Schizosaccharomyces pombe: one gene and its partners. The protein of the gene in region 3 purifies or fractionates together with the protein of the main gene of each other region. This does not show direct contact. Each region holds a gene or a part of one and is shown on either strand. Other genes may lie near its edges.

The links.
Region 1: the proteins of dss1 (region 3) and rpn8 purify together in Schizosaccharomyces pombe (affinity purification with mass spectrometry, with the first as the bait; 2 studies listed by BioGRID). This does not show direct contact.
Region 2: the proteins of dss1 (region 3) and mts4 purify together in Schizosaccharomyces pombe (affinity purification with western blotting, with the first as the bait; 4 studies listed by BioGRID). This does not show direct contact.
Region 4: the proteins of dss1 (region 3) and rpn3 purify together in Schizosaccharomyces pombe (affinity purification with mass spectrometry; 3 studies listed by BioGRID, with this or other methods). This does not show direct contact.

What each region holds. Positions count from the first base shown.
Region 1 is NC_003421.2:388,568-392,704, reverse strand, and holds rpn8 (proteasome regulatory subunit Rpn8), read right to left. Parts: upstream 2,012-4,137; 5' UTR 1,959-2,011; coding exon 1,908-1,958; exon of another isoform or gene 1,864-1,907; coding exon 940-1,863; 3' UTR 613-939; downstream 1-612. Other genes in the region: ctl1 (choline transmembrane transporter family protein), read left to right, coding at 1-219, 271-382; ggc1 (guanine nucleotide transporter), read left to right, coding at 2,881-3,171, 3,293-3,387, 3,487-4,003. UniProt on the Schizosaccharomyces pombe protein: Acts as a regulatory subunit of the 26S proteasome which is involved in the ATP-dependent degradation of ubiquitinated proteins.
Region 2 is NC_003423.3:2,850,179-2,856,197, forward strand, and holds mts4 (19S proteasome regulatory subunit Rpn1/Mts4), read right to left. Parts: upstream 3,925-6,019; 5' UTR 3,875-3,924; coding exon 3,737-3,874; exon of another isoform or gene 3,690-3,736; coding exon 1,152-3,689; 3' UTR 943-1,151; downstream 1-942. Other genes in the region: SPOM_SPBP19A11.02C (uncharacterized protein), read right to left, coding at 1-136; morphogenesis protein Mor2, read right to left, coding at 4,472-6,019. UniProt on the Schizosaccharomyces pombe protein: Acts as a regulatory subunit of the 26 proteasome which is involved in the ATP-dependent degradation of ubiquitinated proteins.
Region 3 is NC_003424.3:5,380,961-5,384,406, reverse strand, and holds dss1 (proteasome receptor/ubiquitin ligase adaptor Dss1), read right to left. Parts: upstream 1,341-3,446; 5' UTR 1,315-1,340; coding exon 1,284-1,314; intron 1,178-1,283; coding exon 1,136-1,177; intron 1,096-1,135; coding exon 953-1,095; 3' UTR 596-952; downstream 1-595. Other genes in the region: Maf-like protein Ifs1, read left to right, coding at 1-200, 324-452; CHD family chromatin remodeller Hrp3, read right to left, coding at 1,757-3,446. UniProt on the Schizosaccharomyces pombe protein: Versatile protein that might stabilize multiple protein complexes involved in diverse pathways. Subunit of the 26S proteasome which plays a role in ubiquitin-dependent proteolysis.
Region 4 is NC_003423.3:710,227-714,926, forward strand, and holds rpn3 (19S proteasome regulatory subunit Rpn3), read left to right. Parts: upstream 1-2,263; 5' UTR 2,264-2,285; coding exon 2,286-2,304; exon of another isoform or gene 2,305-2,350; coding exon 2,351-2,446; exon of another isoform or gene 2,447-2,490; coding exon 2,491-3,869; 3' UTR 3,870-3,926; downstream 3,927-4,700. Other genes in the region: UDP-glucose--glycoprotein glucosyltransferase Gpt1, read left to right, coding at 1-1,708. UniProt on the Schizosaccharomyces pombe protein: Acts as a regulatory subunit of the 26 proteasome which is involved in the ATP-dependent degradation of ubiquitinated proteins.

The DNA of each region.
Region 1 (4,137 bases), on a different chromosome or scaffold from region 3:
CGAACAATTGAACCGAGTAGGATTACGCCGACGTTCCTACTATTTTTCTAAATACACTTTGCTAGCCGCTCGTTCCCTCCTCGCTATAGGAGTTGGCGTTACTTCGTGGAATTATTCCATTCATGAAAATGGTGTCTTTTATGGCTACATTGTAGGACTTTTAGGCGGATTCCTTGCTTGGCTTATCATTGGCGCCATAGAGGGCGGCCTCAGCATGATGTGAGTAATTATATTTAGTTATCCTCGCGTAAAATACTAACTTTTTCACAGTGTGGATGCGTTACTTATATGCTCTATTATCGATATTTCTAGCTGCCAAGGAGATCCTAATGGTTCTCACTGTTTCGAGGCATGGCAGCTTTTTGAATCAAATGGATATTAAAACCAAAAATGCGAATTACTTCTTTTGCTGTTTTTCTGTTTCTTTTAACTTCCTTAGAACCTACTTTCATCAAAGAGCTCAAAGAAAGAGATGCTGGTCACCTGTACGCGTATCCCTATTCCCTTTTACTTCATTAATATAATGTCAGCCTACTTTTTAACATTGACACCTTGGCGTTTGCTAGGATTTCTTTTCATGAAAAGTTTTTTCTCAAGCTATCCATCATATCACTGTAAATTAAAATATGATATTTTGTATGCAATTTCTTCGTACTAACTTAAAATTACACTTTTATCCTTCGTAAATACAATTTAACAAACGTAGACATATCATTTTTAACATACAAGCAAATAAACCCGAACCCGACGTGTAACTTTTACAAGTTAAGAGGGTTACAAATATCTGCAAAACTGTCTGCGAAAAGACAAGATATAAATAAAAACTCTATGATACTTAGACATTGAAATAAAAAACCTACGTTAGATAAAGTCGTTAAATCTCAGAAAGAGGAGTCCACAAATGATAGAAGCCAGACATGGATAGTATGAATACAGTGATTAAGCCTTTTGTTCGGCATTAGCCGAAACTTCTCCATTTTGAACAGTTGGCTTTATGTCCTGCTGTTCCATAGCTTTACTAGCAGCCAAAGAATCCAAAAGATCATGAAGAGCAATCACGGCCCTCACGATGCTGGAAATATAAATGGACATCAACTGATCATTGGAATTCACATTGAAAGCACGTTGTGCCTCTGATTCCAAGGCCTGTTCTGAAACCACAGGACCGCTAAAAATGTTAGGCAAAAGATTAAACACACTCTGAAGCTCGGCAAGGATAGCATGATTTATAGGTAGTTGCCCATCCACGACTTTCCTTAAGTAATCTGCGATTTCAGTGAGACGCTGCCCAAGGCCTTGTAAAGATTGTGCCTGCTGGGTAACTCTTGTCGCTAAAGTACCAACGGATGCATCACGAGTATCACGTAACAAGTGTTCAACACCAATTTCCTCTGCTTCCTCTGCCTCTATACTGGAGGGTAGATGAACAAAAGTTCTGCTGGACTTAGAGCCGTCGTCTTCAATTTCATCAATGGCAAAGTAGGCATTAGTCGGAAGACCCACTGATTTGGGCTTTACATCGATAATGACAAGAACGGGATTGGGTATGTATTTTTTAAGTAAGTTGTTGATTTCCAAATCAGAGGGTCGGAGTTGTGGTCCAGTATGATACCAGCCAACTAATTTTTCATTTGCATTGATTTTTTTAAACATTTCATTCATTGATTCCATAAAATTATGGTCCAAAAACCAAACCGATGCATTCTTTTCATCTTCCTCAAATGGTATAGCATAACTATTGGCCACGTTTACAACGTCGCCATTATTTTGACCCAATAGAATACCAACGACCCGTCTTTTGGTTCCCTTGGCAGATCGATTATAAGAATCTACTGCTGACAGAAGTACTAATGGATGCACAATCTAACCAATGGTTAATAAAAAAGTTTCTCAAATTTTCTACTTACAACTTGCTGTGGGACGATTGTAGAGGTTTCAGAGCTCACTGCAGGAGGCATTATAACCGGTTTATATTAAAAATTTGTCTCTCACAACTTCAACTGTGTATGGCAAACGAAAGGTTGAAAGCGTGTAACCTCTCATCACATGCTGCAGCGGTTTCCTACTTACCGCAAGTTAAGACATAGTTCATTACAGAAATATTACGATACTTTCAAATGCCCAACTACCTATTAAGCGCTGTAATATAACAATGCTTTAAACAATGATCATTCCATTAGGCTACTAAATGGCAATTATATTACACTCCCTCTCATATGTAGAAAGGATTGAAGAGCTATACATTTAAATCATGTTAAACGTGTAATTGCACGTAATTTACTCAAATAAATTCTGAAAAGACATGGACATTAAATATTGAAGACATATCTTGAAACCATCTGCTCTTTTTTTAAAGAAATACTTTGCATATCAAATTACATGCTGGTATTTCGATTTGAAGCATAGTATATCACTTTTAACTACTTAATCAAACCGAAATACACGTGAGACGCATTCCAAAAGTTCATTAAATATCTGTTCGATGACTATATTTACGATGAAACAAGTAAAAGAAACTTTCAGTAAGAACGTTCTTAAAAGTTTTCGTCTGAAGCAATTGAAACAGTTAGAATTCAGATATTTTGTATGTCCACACGTTTCATCAAAGCCATATGCATGAGATTTTTTGCAAACTTACATTAATAGGATTTGTGTTTTTGGAATTATTTCAAACGTTTAAAAATATTAACAGAAAAACATAGATCACTATTTGAGAACAACGATATTTCATCTTATCTCTAAAACGAAGGCTATCAGTTCTTATCAAAAAATGAAAAAAATTTCAATAAAAGTTCACTACACTAAAATCCTTTAACTTTTCTTTTTCAACACAACGAAACTTTTTGGTTATTAATTAAATTTTTAAATAGATAGAGAAAGATGGCTCCTGTTCAGTTGAAAAACAAAGAGTCGCAAACCGCTCGAATTGTGGGATCAGCATCTGCCGGAATTCTCGAACTTTCACTCTTTCATCCTGTTGATACAATTTCCAAGCGTTTGATGTCAAATCATGGAAAAATTACTTCTTTAACTCAACTTAACACTGTAATTTTCAGAGATGCTGCCTCTGCTCCTCTACTCCAAAAGGCTACCTCTCTTTTTCCTGGTTTGGGCTATGCTGCTTGCTACAAAATTGTACAACGTATTTATAAATATAGCGGTCAACCAATTGTATGTTGTAGAGTACTTATACTGGTAGTTTAAAGCGTACGTTTTTTCCAAGCCTTGATGGCGGAATTAATGTATCGCAGTTGGCTTCAGTATACTCGTTCATCTTTACTAACATGTTCAGGTAAAAGACTTTTTGAATGAAAATTATAGACATACTTTTGATAAAACTTTTGGAAAGGGATCTGGAAAAGCCATTATGCATGCTACTGCTGGAAGGTATGTATCTGTCGAATATTTGTTTAACTAAGCTGAAAGCTTATGTTTAAGATTGTTGAAAAGGGAATTCAAGATGTGTATAGCTTACTAACTTTTCAGTATCGTTGGAATTGGAGAGATCTTCCTCCTTCCCTTAGACGTCCTGAAAATTAAGCGCCAAACCAATCCTGCAGCTTTTAAAGGTCGCGGTGTTTTCAGAATTCTCGCTGATGAGAAATTTGCGTTGTATCGTGGATGGGGATGGACTGCCGCCCGCAATGCCCCAGGTTCTTTTGCACTCTTTGGTGGTAACGCTTTTGCTAAGGAGTACATATTTAAACTAAAGGATTACTCTCAAGCCACTTTTTTTCAAAATTTTTTCACCTCAATCGCTGGTGCTTCTGCTAGTTTGATTGTCTCTGCCCCTCTCGATGTTATTAAAACTCGTATTCAAAATAAGAATTTTGATAACCCTCAATCCGGGTTTACTATTTTGAAAAATATGCTTAAATTCGAAGGACCTACCTCGTTCTTTAAAGGGTTGACTCCCAAATTGTTGACAACTGGTCCTAAGCTTGTTTTTTCATTTACCATGGCTCAAACCCTTATCCCCTTCTTTGATAAGCTTTTGAAATAATATGCTTTATTTCTTCATTTCAATGTTGAAATATTGTTGAGTGTGCTCTGTTTTTCTATATAAATAATTCATTGGGGTTGTAATCTTTTGAAAGACTTTACTTTTTGGTTCTTTTTGTTTTTGTCATTCAAAAG
Region 2 (6,019 bases), on a different chromosome or scaffold from region 3:
TCGTAACATTAGCACTTGGTAAAGGAGTAGGCGTTACAGTTGTAGCAACGTCTGTCGTAAAACCAGGAGTATACTCCGTTTGTGCCATTACGGCTGTGACAAGCAACAGAAATTTGCAAAGGACAGAGAACTGCATCTTCTTATTAAATGATTAATGAATTAAAAAATAGAAGGATAAAAAATGCTAAAGAGTGCCTCAAATACAAGTTCCAAAAGACCAATTATATTTTCCTGGCTTTTATTTGCAAGCAAGCGAAATCGGATTAATGTCTCAATTTCAGTAGCACAAATCGAGAGAACGAATACCTCGATATATAGGTCAAATTTTTACTGACAAATTCTTACAAAATGCAATTCGGTAGACAAAATGACGGGTGAGTGATCCCATTGAAAATAAATTGTTCAATCAACACATAATAGTCCCCTAATAGTCATATATGACATTTCTATCAATTCAAATACGAGCGTCATTCCATTTTTTCACATAACGAAATGAATGCACAACTTACCTGTGGAAATGAATTAACGATGAGCAGACTTTGGGACTGCATATGATGAAACATAATAACAATTCAAGATAATATTTGAAATTAAATAAAGCTATTCACCGTTATTCCCTAAATGCGAAGTATCTAATGTGCAGTTTTACCTTTAATGTAATGGTTAGGTATTGAAACAGTAGTAGAAACGTGACATAAGGGATGCGTCGCAAAGCAGTCAACTCCTTTGTCGGATTATCAGAAGATGATTAAAATTCATTCTTTGATAATTGCATTAAGCTCCAACGCAGGTCTAAATTTTTTTTACTAAGAAATGGTAGCTCCTTAGTTCGGGCAATTTTTATCCAACAAGACGTTTCTGCAGTGGACGTTCTATTACCTTTTGGTAACGCGACAAATACAAAAAAAAAGAAACAGAAATTATAATCCTAATTACAAATTTGCAATCATGTATATATACTTTCCGCTACTTCAATTTAGAACAATACTAGAACATTTCTAATCTAAAAAATACGAATTTAACATAATCGAAATAGAAAAATAAATGTATCGGGCGCTGAATTTCAACAATCCAGTTTGTTTTATTAATAGCAAAGAACTGGAAATCAAGCATTAGTACATAAAAATTGTAGTCATTTAACTTCAAGTCATTTAAGCGGTCATTTCAATGTCCTCCGTATTTTTTTTTAAAATAACAATACCTTCCAACGAAGTCAAAGGTGTATATGCTTCCGTCGCTAGTTCAGCTCGCTCATTGTGATGCAACAAAACTGGTGTAGTATGTGTGACCCAACCCGTAATGACCTTGGGACGACCAGCTTGACCGACCACATCTACTGCTTGACCAACTCGAACGCTTACTGGTAAATATTGACCGTCCTCACCAAGGGTAATGAGCATTCGGGGTCGTATTGCTAACGTAATAGCATAAAGCAACCAATGCGAGGTATCAAGGACAAAGGTATTTGCATCTAGCATAGCTAATACAACAGTCATAAGACCAGCAAAAGCAGTTTGACCAAGAATCTGCCGTTCTGTATGATAAGGGTTAAGCGTCATTGTTCCTTTTCCTAAGTAAAGTAAACCTTGAGCGATACGAACCATGAATAGAGCGTTGGATTCTTTGTGATAATAACTGGCTAGTTGGCGGAGTAATTGAGCCAAACGCGCATTACTAGTACCAGCACCAACAAGACCCATTGCAAAGATTGCGTTGTAAGCAACATCCAAATCATTATCGTGACTATAGCGTGAAAGCGTGTCAAATATACGCATTTGAGGATTGGAAGCGGAAAGCAATCCTAATGCAAGTGGTATAGCTTTTCGAATAGAGGGTTCGCCATAATGCATCATGTGATCGAAATGTCTCAAAACCATTTCTGCTCCAATATCTTCACCCATAGCTATAGTAGCAACACCAAGTGCTGCAAATGTCTGGATAGTAGTCTCACTCTCCTTAGCATCATCACTGGGAGGTTCACTACAGATATGAAGCAATTTTTGGATGTGAAGAACGTTGCCAGTTCCAGCATACGAGCAAATATCCACCAAAATTTCAGCTTGTCGTGCAATTTTACCCTCAATAGCTTTCAGTGTTTCGACTGTAGCATCCGCAAGGTCTTGTTTACCATTAAAAAGAAGGGCAAGGCCAAGAGCCATAAAACGGCCCCATTGATCATTTTGGGCAGACTCTTCACGCTCCATTAGAGTTTGTAAAATTGTGCTAGCTACATCGCCGTTGCAAGTACCAACAAAAATAAGACCTAAAGATAATGCGGCTAAGCAGGATAATTGCATAGGGCAATCGGTATCCGTAACAATTGGAGATAACATGTCGAGTAAATCTTCGCGATTAGCTCCACTGTATGCAAGTCCTAAACCTAAAATCGCTGATGCACGAAGCTTTACGGAGCCAGTTTCAAGGTATTCAGAAAGAATTGCCATAGCTGGATCAGCTTCATTTCTTACTGCAACATTTGTAACACCAATTCCCAACAATGCACCAGCCTTGGTATTCTCCTCAGAAGAGTATAAATACTTATCCAACAAAGACAATCCCATGTCAACATTCCATAATTGTAATAGGCCAATAGAAGCTGTAGCACTTATTAAACCAGATTCTTTATTTTTATAAATCCAAGACGTTTTTTCGTCATCGACCAAAATTAATCTGTCGTTACTGTATCCGGCATTGACAAGGGCATTGACAAAAGTGTTAGCTAAATTTTGTTTGGCGGAATACACTCCTGATGCACCCAATCCAGTCCTAGCCACTTCTAAATGTGTTTTAAAGATATCTTCCGGAACTTTAGGATCCATAAGGTTCAACTCCTTTCCTAGATAATGAAAGTGATCAGATAAATGAGTGTTATTTAAAGCATCGTTTAACTCCTCGTCTCCCATATCCATAGGTATTTGCTGACGAGCAAGCATGTAAGACATTTGCTTTTTCAACAAGGGATCCGTAGCAGCTTCACAGTCTTCTTTTATCAAAGACATATCATCAAGGCGGATAGCAACGTTAAGTGCTTGTGTAAGCTGGTCAAACTTCCGATAAATAGCATGCGCTGTTCTTAACATGGCGACATCTTCAGGAAATGGCAAAAGATTAACGCAACTGGTAATATAAAGACAAACGCGAGAAGCATTATCAAGTTCTACGAAGGGTACAACTTTTTCAATAGCACCCAATTCTTGTAATAAATCAATAGCATCAGCCTCAGCATTATGAGTAAGGAAGAATGGAACAATGGTCAATGCAAGTTCCATAAGATCGTCGGTTGGCGCTTCCTCTTCCTGGCGACTGGCAAACTCTTCTTCTATTTCGGAAGCCAAATGGCGAACATACTCATGACCCCATAAAGAAGGATCAGTGGTAACGCCCTGAAGACGATATTTTAATGATTCATGTTTGCTTGTATTACTATAGGACATTCCTAATACTGAAAGGATATCAGCAAGTTGAGTCTTCTGAGGGCTTTGCGGCCAGGAATCATAGATTTTAACGAGAGTAAAATAATGTGGTCTAAGAAACTTCAAAGGCTTTGGAACGGCCGTCATAGAGGAGGTAGAAGTACGAATTATTTCTTTAAGCTGAGTGAGACTGGAACCCACCAACTCAGGGGTGGCATCTTGAACAGCTTGAACTAATAATTCCAAATCATTTTTTAATTGTAAATCTTCTTCAGACTATTTGGTTAGTTTTCATTTTGAAAAATAATAGGGCTTTAACTTACTAAATCCTCTAATTCATCCCTTTCTTTGGTATTGTTCGTTGAGTTTCTGTCATTAGTTTCTGAAGTCTTTGTCCCTTTTTTGTCATTTAATGCATCATTACCACTCGGGGACTTCGAACTAATGTCTTTAGAACTCATTTTCTAGATTCCTAAGATTTTCTGAAACTGAGTAGTAATGTGTTGTCGTTGAAACTACTCTCACCCTAGTCAGAACCAGTATACCGATTGTTTACGTATTTGATTATTTATCACGTTAATTAGATTTAACAACACGCTATGCTTTCTTTATGGATCAGTACAAATGAAAAAATAATCTATTATTTAAGTTCGTCAATGTATTACCATTATTACACGATGCTTGACATTATTATCTCATGCCTCTTTTCTTATAAGAATTGTTGTAAAATAACTCGTTATTGATTGACTCTTTATGTTTTCATTTGTTTAAATACGGACATATGAAACCGATTTATATCACTACACCTAATTACCATAGTTATAGCTTGATTTTTAATAACATGACACGCTCTAAGATTTTGAATTCTAAAATTAAAGGCTGTAATGGTCAAAGAATTTTCGAGTTTAAATTAACAAAAAAATGCAAATGATAAAATAATGAAAACAAACGAATAGTTTTATATAGTACATCCATAAACGTTGCCGACTAATTTTCCATCTTACACACATGAACACCATAAAAGCTTGTATAAGTATACTAAACCAGTATAGGCAAATTCAATGCCAACCGCGGGATCGAGTTGTATCAGTAAAAGATTCATTGCTTTCACTTCCTTGAAACATTGTACGTAAATGATAATAATTTTCATGAGTTTCATGGTCTTCCACTGAATCTTCATTAATCATAGAAACAGATTGATCTAACATGGAATTCCAATTTTTATTTTGTTTCAATTCTGCTGCACCTCGTATTTCGTCCAAAGATAAACGATGTTCCGCCGAATTACCAAGTGCCTTTAAAGAAGGATAATAAGATTCAGCATCCATAAAGTAATGAGGTTTTAATTTAGAGATAAAAGACGACTTTCTTACTCTCACCGGCGGCATGTCCATCGGCAATTTTGCTGATGCATCAATTTCTTCGTTCGGTGAATAATCTCTGAAGGATTCTGTTTCATAAGCCATAAGACCTTGTTTCTGCCGTCTAAGGCTACCTGAAAGAATCGTAGCTATCCGATCGTCATAATCTTCCGATGTAATATCTAATTTTGGATCAACGGCGACATCAGGCTGAATTAACTCTTCATCCCTATCTTCAGCGAAGAAGACATCGAGGCTATGAAGAGTTGTAACTAGCTCTCCTAGTGAATTTTCGTCAAGCGAACCATGACTGTCAGTAGGAACGTGTCGCGGATAATTGGATACTTCATCAGCATGAAATCTAACCTCTGGCGTACTCACAGAAGCCTCGGTAGTGGAACAGCTATAAAATACGGCATGTACGTTGCTTTTAGTTATAGCAGCTGCATATTCAGAGTTTGGTTCATACCATCCATCCTCGTCAGGTATTTCAAAAAATCCAGCCAGACGATCATCTGAATTTTTTAATTTAGGGTCAACCATTAATAACTTTAAGGTTTGCATATCTGTGGGAGCAGATACATGAAGCACTGAGTCGGTTAGCAAAGACAACGCTTCCATTGCATAACCAGTAGGTAAGAGTCGAAGAAGCGGTGAAACAATACCTAATCCATGTTCGGAATATATAGGTTTTTGGAAATCAATTAATGGAAAGAGTTCTTTTAACACATCTAACGTAGACTTTCTAAACCAAGTCAAATTATTTGATAGAAACATCGTAAGAGTACTAACAATTTCTAGCTCGTAATCTTCAAAATAATAGGAGTATAGGTATGAAACCGTATGTTTTAAAAAATCCTTAATTGACCTGAATTTACGTTTGAGATATGTGTCAAGAAGCTCAATCAATGCATCATCGTTAAATTGTGAAGCAAGAGTAGCTAATTTATGACAGAAAACACTTAAATCAAAAGTAATAGGATCTGAATGCTCGTATGTATATACCATCGCTGGTAATGACACCAACAAGCAGGATAGTATCCTCAAATAACCAACGCCAACCAAATCATTATCCTTGAAATCCATCAGCAAAAGGAAAAAATTCATGGTAATTTCAAAAGAATTAGTTGAACGGAAACCTTTTAATATTAAAATCTGAAGACCTTGGTAATCTCCAACCCAGTTTTGGGGAAATGTCTCCATAATTTGTTGGGTAGCAGAGTCCGTCTCCTCCACTCTCAGAAA
Region 3 (3,446 bases):
ATTCTAAAACACCCCATAAAGTATTTACTGCTGTCAGTGTTATTGTGCCTATGGAAGTGCCTATTCATCCAGGTTATGTTATGAAAACACACCTTGAAGAAACTCAGGTGAAGTTTGACCCTTCCATAACTGACGAATTTCTCGAAGCTTATGTTCGTTGTGGCGAAGGTTCAGATAAAGCCGGAGGCTATGCTATACAGGTATGTTTTTGGCTGTTTTTAGGGTGATGGAAGTGCCTGAACCGTGCGTGCTTTCAAATAATGAATTATAGCATTTTTTGTTTTTTTTAAATTTTTACGCATGACTTTGCTGACTAAGTTTAGGGTCACGGCGCCTTATTGATTGAGTCTATCATAGGTGACTTTTCCAATGTTGTAGGCTTGCCTATCCGCGCTACTTTCAAGTTGATGGAAGAAGCCTTAGAACAAGGAGATGCTGATAATTACGATTAAGAATCTTCTAAGAAATTAAGTTCATGACAATTGCGTTTCATTTTCCCAGGCACCTTCATCTTTGCCTCATACACTTCAATGTTTTTGTTTAAATTCCTTTACATATTAACTACGCGTCTCTTCTTTTGACCATTTGAAATGATCATCATTTGAACAATCATGGGTTGCTATTGTCTATAGTAATGCAAATAGGTTTTACATTTTCTAGCTTATCTTCATTTCGCATATACAGGCAGTACCGTTTCGCCGGTAATTGTTAGAATATAATCAATTCAGGCGTATATAAGTATCATAGACCTAATTTACAGATATGGACAAGTTGAAGTTCTTTAAACGTAAAAATCTTCAACACAAGAATATCTATCTGCACCGTATTTACAGAACCAGCAAAACCTTAGAGTCATGAAAGAACCTGTATTCGATCGTTTTGTTAATGCATTAAAATTATACTGAGGGATGAAGGCAGTTTCGGAGATATACACTCTGGCAGAAGCAATATCTTAATTGGCGGCAACACCCTTCTTTTTTAACTCTGCTTGTAATTGAACAGAAAAATCATCGTCTCCAATGTCCTCATCGTCCCAATTGTTTTCCCATAGCGTATCATCTCCAGTATCAAGCTCTGTATCTTTCATAGGCCAATCTTTTTGATGTTAAATAATTATTTCTTTAAAAGTACTTACTTTCTGTTGCGAAATCTTCAAACTCATCATCATCCTCAAGGTCTAAGCATTATGTTAGTAAACGTCTTTAGGCCAACGAAAAAATCATAGACATTAGCATATCGAATAAATAGTACTCGAAAGCCACTCTAAATAATTTGTAACGTACTTTCTAAGCTTGGTAAGGCCGCACGAGACATTCTAATTTATAAACGTGATTTGGTGTGAAAGGTGAACCCTGCCGTACTGTGATGTTTGAATGAACTTTTCACTGGTAACGATGTCTACTGAGTTACACTATTATATTTACAAACTGCATAAAGTTGCAGACTAATAAATAGCAGTTTGCCATTGATATTTCAATTAAAAACAAATTGTATTACTGGATTATTCTTATCTATGCTGACTCTATGTTCTGAATACCGGAGGATTTCCTAAAGTCAAGATTTGAAATGCAGGGTTTATTAACATTATAATTAAAGGTACAATAAGAAACGATTTTTAGACTAGAATTTAGTGATCTTTGAAATGTAGCAATCAAAATTGAAGACTGTAAAAGATAAACATATTCGAGCTTCAAACCTAAAATATTCCGGATGAAAAATGAAGAAACAAATTGGCTTTTGTATGACAGGCTAAAATCTACTTCATCTTTTCATACATGCTGATCAAGCTGGTATATTTAACCTCCTCCTTCGGCCAAAAGTAACATGCAAACATCCATAAATTCTTCCTAACAGTAGCTTTTTCTTCGGAGGGTGTATCATTGACAGTTTTTTCAATATGCTTTCCAATCGTTGTCAAACACTCAGTAAGTAACTTCACCAACTCCGCGCGTCCAAGCCCACTAGAATCTTTCCGAAGTCTTTTCATATGCTTACGGACTGGATACATCAGTTCTTTGCAGCGTGCCTTTTGTTCAGCATTTAGACTTACATTACCATCGTCTTTTTCAGATTTGACGGGTGAAGCTGTCTGGCTGCGAGACTGTTCCCTACTAGGTGTTTCAATCTTCGTGTCTTTAGAAGAAGGTTTCTTACGAGATTCTGAAATTGCAGGCGATGGTGTCCTAGTTGCACTCTCTATTTTTTGCGCAGATTTAACGTTAGGCTTGCCACTTTGTCTGCGATTAGCCGTCTGCTTCTTAGGTTGAGTTTTTCCATTAGTACTAATAGCGGGGCTTGATTTTATGCCAAAATTTTGGTGATGCTCACGTAAAGCACTAAGTAGGTATTCACCTCGACGAACCAAATGCACAGCTGAAGGTACCTTTTTCTCTTTATTTTCTTTATCTTTGGGGACAGAGTTGTCTGTTTGTTTTGTGTCTTCTAAAAAGATCTTGTCTTTCATTTTGAGTTCTGGATCATCTCGAATTTCTAACCAAGCTCCAAATCCATGCTTACAAATTCCAGAAAGCAACATGGAATCTTCTCGGGGTCCCCACTGACAGGACCAGCCGTGAACAGATCTAACGTGCATTGGAATTTGGAAGTTAGAATATCCTGACGTTGGCATAGCATCATAAAGAATATCAAGATCATTTAGCCTTTGTACCAATGTTTCAGCATTTATATTTTTTACACCTTTAAATGTAATGAGCAGCGCTTTACGAGATGACTTATTATTAGACTGATCATTAGATAAGTCCTTCTCGGCTGCTGATACAGCCTTGCGTGAAGCGGTTACTAAGTCAGCTGCAATCTTTTTTATTACGTGAGCATCTTGCGTAGTAAGATCAGCATATTTAACAATGTCATTGTAGCGATGCTCAAGGCTTCCATATCTAATCATAGCACGATAAAGCAACCGAATTTCCTTTTCCAGTAAAACCTCATCTTTAAGCATTTGCTTTTTGCTCTTCCTTTCAGAAGTTCCAGAGTAGGATGGGGATTCCACCGCAGAGCTAGGATAAGGACGATTACCTCGTCTACTACTAAGCTCAATTTCTTGCTTAAGCGCTTCTTCCTCTTCTCTTAAGCGGTCTTCCTCTTCAAACTTCTCACGTTCAGTTAGGGGTATAATATCATCCCAAGATACATCTGCCTTATAGTCTGTAACTTCGAACTGTTTCAAAAACTCTTCACCACCCATGCTGGCTCCACCCACATCATTGGAAGTATCATGATCTTCGGCATGTTCCAAAATTTCATCTAAATTCATATCCTCAAGCTTCTTTTGATTATTCTCTGCTTTAAACATATTAGAAGCTCCAAATTTCAAAATAGCGCTAAGCTCTTCAGCAGAAAATTTATCATTTTTGGAATTCTTTTGCTTGTCTGTAACACCTAATGAAATAATTGCATATTCAAGAATCATTTTACGACGTGCACGT
Region 4 (4,700 bases), on a different chromosome or scaffold from region 3:
TGCTACATTTGAAACTGACGATTTTTCAAAAGCTTATTATCAGTTTGTTGCAGTTTTAGATCCTCTTTCAAAAGATTCTCAAAAATGGTCAGCTATTCTTGAAGCAGTCTCAAAGTTGAACGGCGTAGGAGTTCGAATTCATTTCAATCCTAAACAAACTTTGTCTGAGCTTCCATTAACAAGGTTTTATCGATATTCAATTTCTGCGGAGCCAGAGTTTGATGCGCTTGGCCATTTAGAGGAGTCTTACGTAGAATTTGACAACTTACCGGCTGATACACTGCTTACAATGGACATTGAAGCTAGAGACGCATGGACAGTTATGCAAAAAGATGTGGACATTGATCTTTTCAACATAAAATTAGAGCACACTTCTGAAGCAGAGGCTTTGGACTCACATACAGCAATCTATGAACTTAAAAACATTTTGGTACAAGGTTACTCTCAAGAAGAATTCAGGAAAAGCCCACCGAGGGGTATGCAATTAAAGCTAGGCAACCTTACTAATTCCCATGTGACTGATACAATTGTATTATCAAATTTAGGATATTTTCAATTGAAGGCGAACCCAGGCGTATGGACTTTGGAACCTATGGATGGGCGGTCTTCTCAGTTTTATGAAATACTGTCGCTAAATAAGAAAAATTCCTATAAAGACCCTCAAGTAATTGTTGACAGTTTTGAAGGTGTCACCTTAAATCCGGTTATGCGACGTAAACCTGGTTTTGAGTCTGCCGACATTATGGATGAAGACCTTAGCTCCCATAAATTTTTCGATAAAATAAAAAAGTCTCTCAGCTTCTTTAATTTCAAACGTAAAGAAGCATCTATAAATATTTTTTCTGTTGCCAGCGGACACTTGTATGAAAGATTCTTATACATCATGACTAAGAGTGTAATTGAGCATACGGATAAAAAAGTCAAGTTCTGGTTTATTGAGAACTTTTTGTCCCCTTCTTTTAAAAGCTCTATTCCGGCCATTGCCAAAAAGTATAATTTCGAGTATGAGTATATTACTTACAATTGGCCACACTGGCTGAGAAAACAAGAAGAAAAGCAACGTGAGATATGGGGATACAAAATATTGTTCCTTGATGTTTTATTCCCTTTAGAATTGCATAAGGTTATCTATGTTGATGCCGATCAAATTGTGCGTGCTGACTTGCAGGAATTGATGGATATGGATTTACATGGTGCTCCATATGGGTATACACCCATGTGTGATTCTCGCGAAGAGATGGAAGGTTTTAGATTCTGGAAAAAAGGATACTGGAAAAAATTCTTACGTGGATTAAAATATCACATTAGTGCATTATATGTTGTAGACTTAGATCGTTTCAGGAAGATGGGTGCGGGTGATTTACTTCGCAGACAATACCAACTTTTGTCTGCCGATCCTAACTCCCTGTCTAATTTAGATCAAGATTTGCCAAATCACCTTCAACACCTTATTCCTATATACTCTCTTCCGCAAGATTGGCTTTGGTGTGAGACATGGTGCAGTGATGAAAGTTTGAAAACTGCCAAAACAATCGATTTATGTCAAAATCCTTTAACTAAAGAAAAGAAGCTGGATCGCGCACGTAGGCAAGTCTCTGAATGGACTTCATACGATAATGAGATAGCATCCGTATTGCAAACCGCCTCTAGTCAATCAGATAAAGAGTTTGAAGAAAAGGATAACAACTCATCTCCGGACGAACTTTGAAACATACTTTTCTTTTGCTTTCATATTATTTAATTCGTGATTGTACGCCTGAAATTTTATAATCGTTTTTCTAATTTACTTGCGAATTTGCATAAGTTAGAAGAGAAAAGAGTTAAAATCAAAATGTTTTAATGAATTGCTTGAATACTGAGAGTATTGGCTTTAGGGATTAAAAGGGGTCAAAATTAGTATATGTCGTCCGTTTGAAATGAGCTAGTCATGAGTTAATTTTTTCCTCCAATCTTGTTAGGACCATTTTGCTGGTGCATTCTACAAGTTGTATACAACGATTATGGTGCTAAGAAACAACTAATCGTGAGCAATGCTACGTTTATTGAATGTTTGTTGAAGACGCGTATTTTCATTTATTTAACTATTCGATACTATCTTCTACTTTGTTCAAACATTATTCGTCTATTATGCTGTAATAAATATTGCATTCAAAAGTCTTTACTAAATAGAACATTTAATATATTCGTGTTTATAATCATAGGGAGGAAGTATACAGCACAGTGAGTCGTAAGCTTAGGCATATGCCCTCCACTGAACGTAACCACTACCAAGTACCAGTATCAATATGATTGATGATCAGAGAGGTTTGTTATTGATGGGAAAGTTTTTGTATTTATTAACGTTAAAAAGATATGCAGGTTGATTCTGTAAACCAAGAAGAAAATGTTGATTCTGGTGAAACAAAACAGAACACTGTAACTGAAGTTCCAAGAACAGTTTTGCAAGGTGAGTTAATGCGTCAAAATTTATTTATTTCTAACAAGGATCAGATGTGGAAGCAAATATTGCTGCCTTAATGCAAGCCACCAAACAAAGAGATCCCAGACTTGTCTATCGATCATTAAGAACCACATCCAACATTTGCCATAGACTGAATGCGGATGTTTTAGGCCAGTTAATTAAGAAGTATTATTCTTTTGATAATTCTTTAAAAAATGAATTATTGGAACTTATTGATATGCCACAAAATGGTGATGATTCTTCCACTTCTATTACAAATGGAAATGGCAACACAATTTTTCCGGAAGTGGATATGTACTTACAACTGCTTCTTAGCATGACACTTTATTATAATGAAAAATATGAGGTAGGCGCTGAATATATTAAGAAGGTAATCGCCCGTTTGCAATCCTATGATCGACGAACCTTGGATCAAATTGCAGCCAAGTTATATTTCTATTACATACTATTCTTTGAAAAATGTAATAGGTCTGTAGAATGCAGGAACACTCTTTTGTCCGTTCATCGTACTGCATCTTTACGTCACGACTCTGAAACTCAAGCTATGGTTTTGACATTACTTCTTCGGAATTATATTCAGTTTAACCTATATGATCAAGCAGACCGTCTCGTTTCGAAAACATCCTTTCTTACGAATGCTAGTAATAACTTGGCAATTCGCTACCAATACTATTTGGGTCGAATTCGCGCCATTCAACTTGACTACACGACCGCTCATGAACATTTAGTTAGTGCTATACGTAAGGCTCCCAACACAGTATATGCCGTTCAATTTCTGGAAGCTGTTTACAAATTGCACATCGTCGTACAATTGCTTATGGGAGAAATTCCCGAACGCCGCATTTTCCGCCAAAAATCTCTCGAAAAAACTTTAGTGCCTTACTTACGTATTAGCCAGGCAGTTCGTATTGGTGACCTTTGTGCTTTCACTGACGCGCTTTCCAAGTATGAGGCTGAATTTCGCTTCGATGGATTGTATACTTTGATATGCCGCCTTCGCCATACCGTCATTAAGACTGGATTGAGGATGATCTCCTTATCTTATTCCCGTATTTCCCTTCGTGATGTTTGTATAAAGCTTGGTTTGGACAGTGAAGAGAGTGCCGAGTACATTGTTGCTAAGGGCATCCGTGATGGAGTTATTGATGCAAGTATCGATCATAGTAATGCCTTTATGGCTAGTAACGAAGCCATGGATATTTATTCCACCGAGCAGCCTCAACAAGCTTTTCATGAACGTATTCAGTTTTGTCTTGCCCTTCATAATGACAGCATAAAAAGTATGCGATATCCCATGGATGCTCACAAAAGTGAACTCGAAGGTGTGGAAGAGGCACGTAGGCGTATGGATAAAGAAATGGCTGAGGCAGATTTAGATGACGATGAGCCTGATTTGGGCGAATTTTAAAAAACTTATGGAAAGTTTATAGATCTTAAAATATACTTTCAAAGTTGTTCAGTTGTATGTTTCTTTAATGTCTATGAAAACTATATGTAGTTTACAGATTGAAATATTTAGTGAGTTTGCGAAGCTGTAACAGAAGGAAAGTTGTTGAAAAACAGTTTTCGATCGGTGCTACAACGCTACAAATGCGTTTGTTGTTTAAACTGAGACTTGGTCTTTGCACATTGTAATAAATGAGTAATACGCTAAAAACACAGGGGTTTGGAGAATGGTCGTGTGCTTTATTTTCAAATTTGTTGTTTTATATTTCGTATATAATACACGTATGCAAACACATTTATGGTTATGCTGTGAAGCAATACAGATTTGATCTTGGATTATGGTTCCAATCAAAGGTATACTTTAGTCTTTTTAATTATAAATGGCGAAATGGGCAAAAAATTTTTGTGCAAATTTATTTTTTGTTATGCATAACTAGAGCAAATAAAGCAATGCTATAAAATGGCTTCCGGCAGAAAATAATAACCACAGTGGATATAAGCTAGTTTTCTAACGTGACTTAAGTAACACTTTATAAAACCAAAGCTATACATTAGTCTCTCCCATTACCACTTTGTCAATTTTAGCTAAGTTAGTAGATATGATCAACACTATATATTTAAAGTGGAACGGCAAGCTCATTTTTTACGTTATAGTAATTTAACAATTTTGTCGATATTTTGAGCAATGGTGTATTCTGCTGTGGTCGCTACGGCGCATATCATCAAATATCGCCTGTCCGGTTTCTCTATTCGCTAAATACGGGAAGATACTGATATAGTCTATATTGTATTT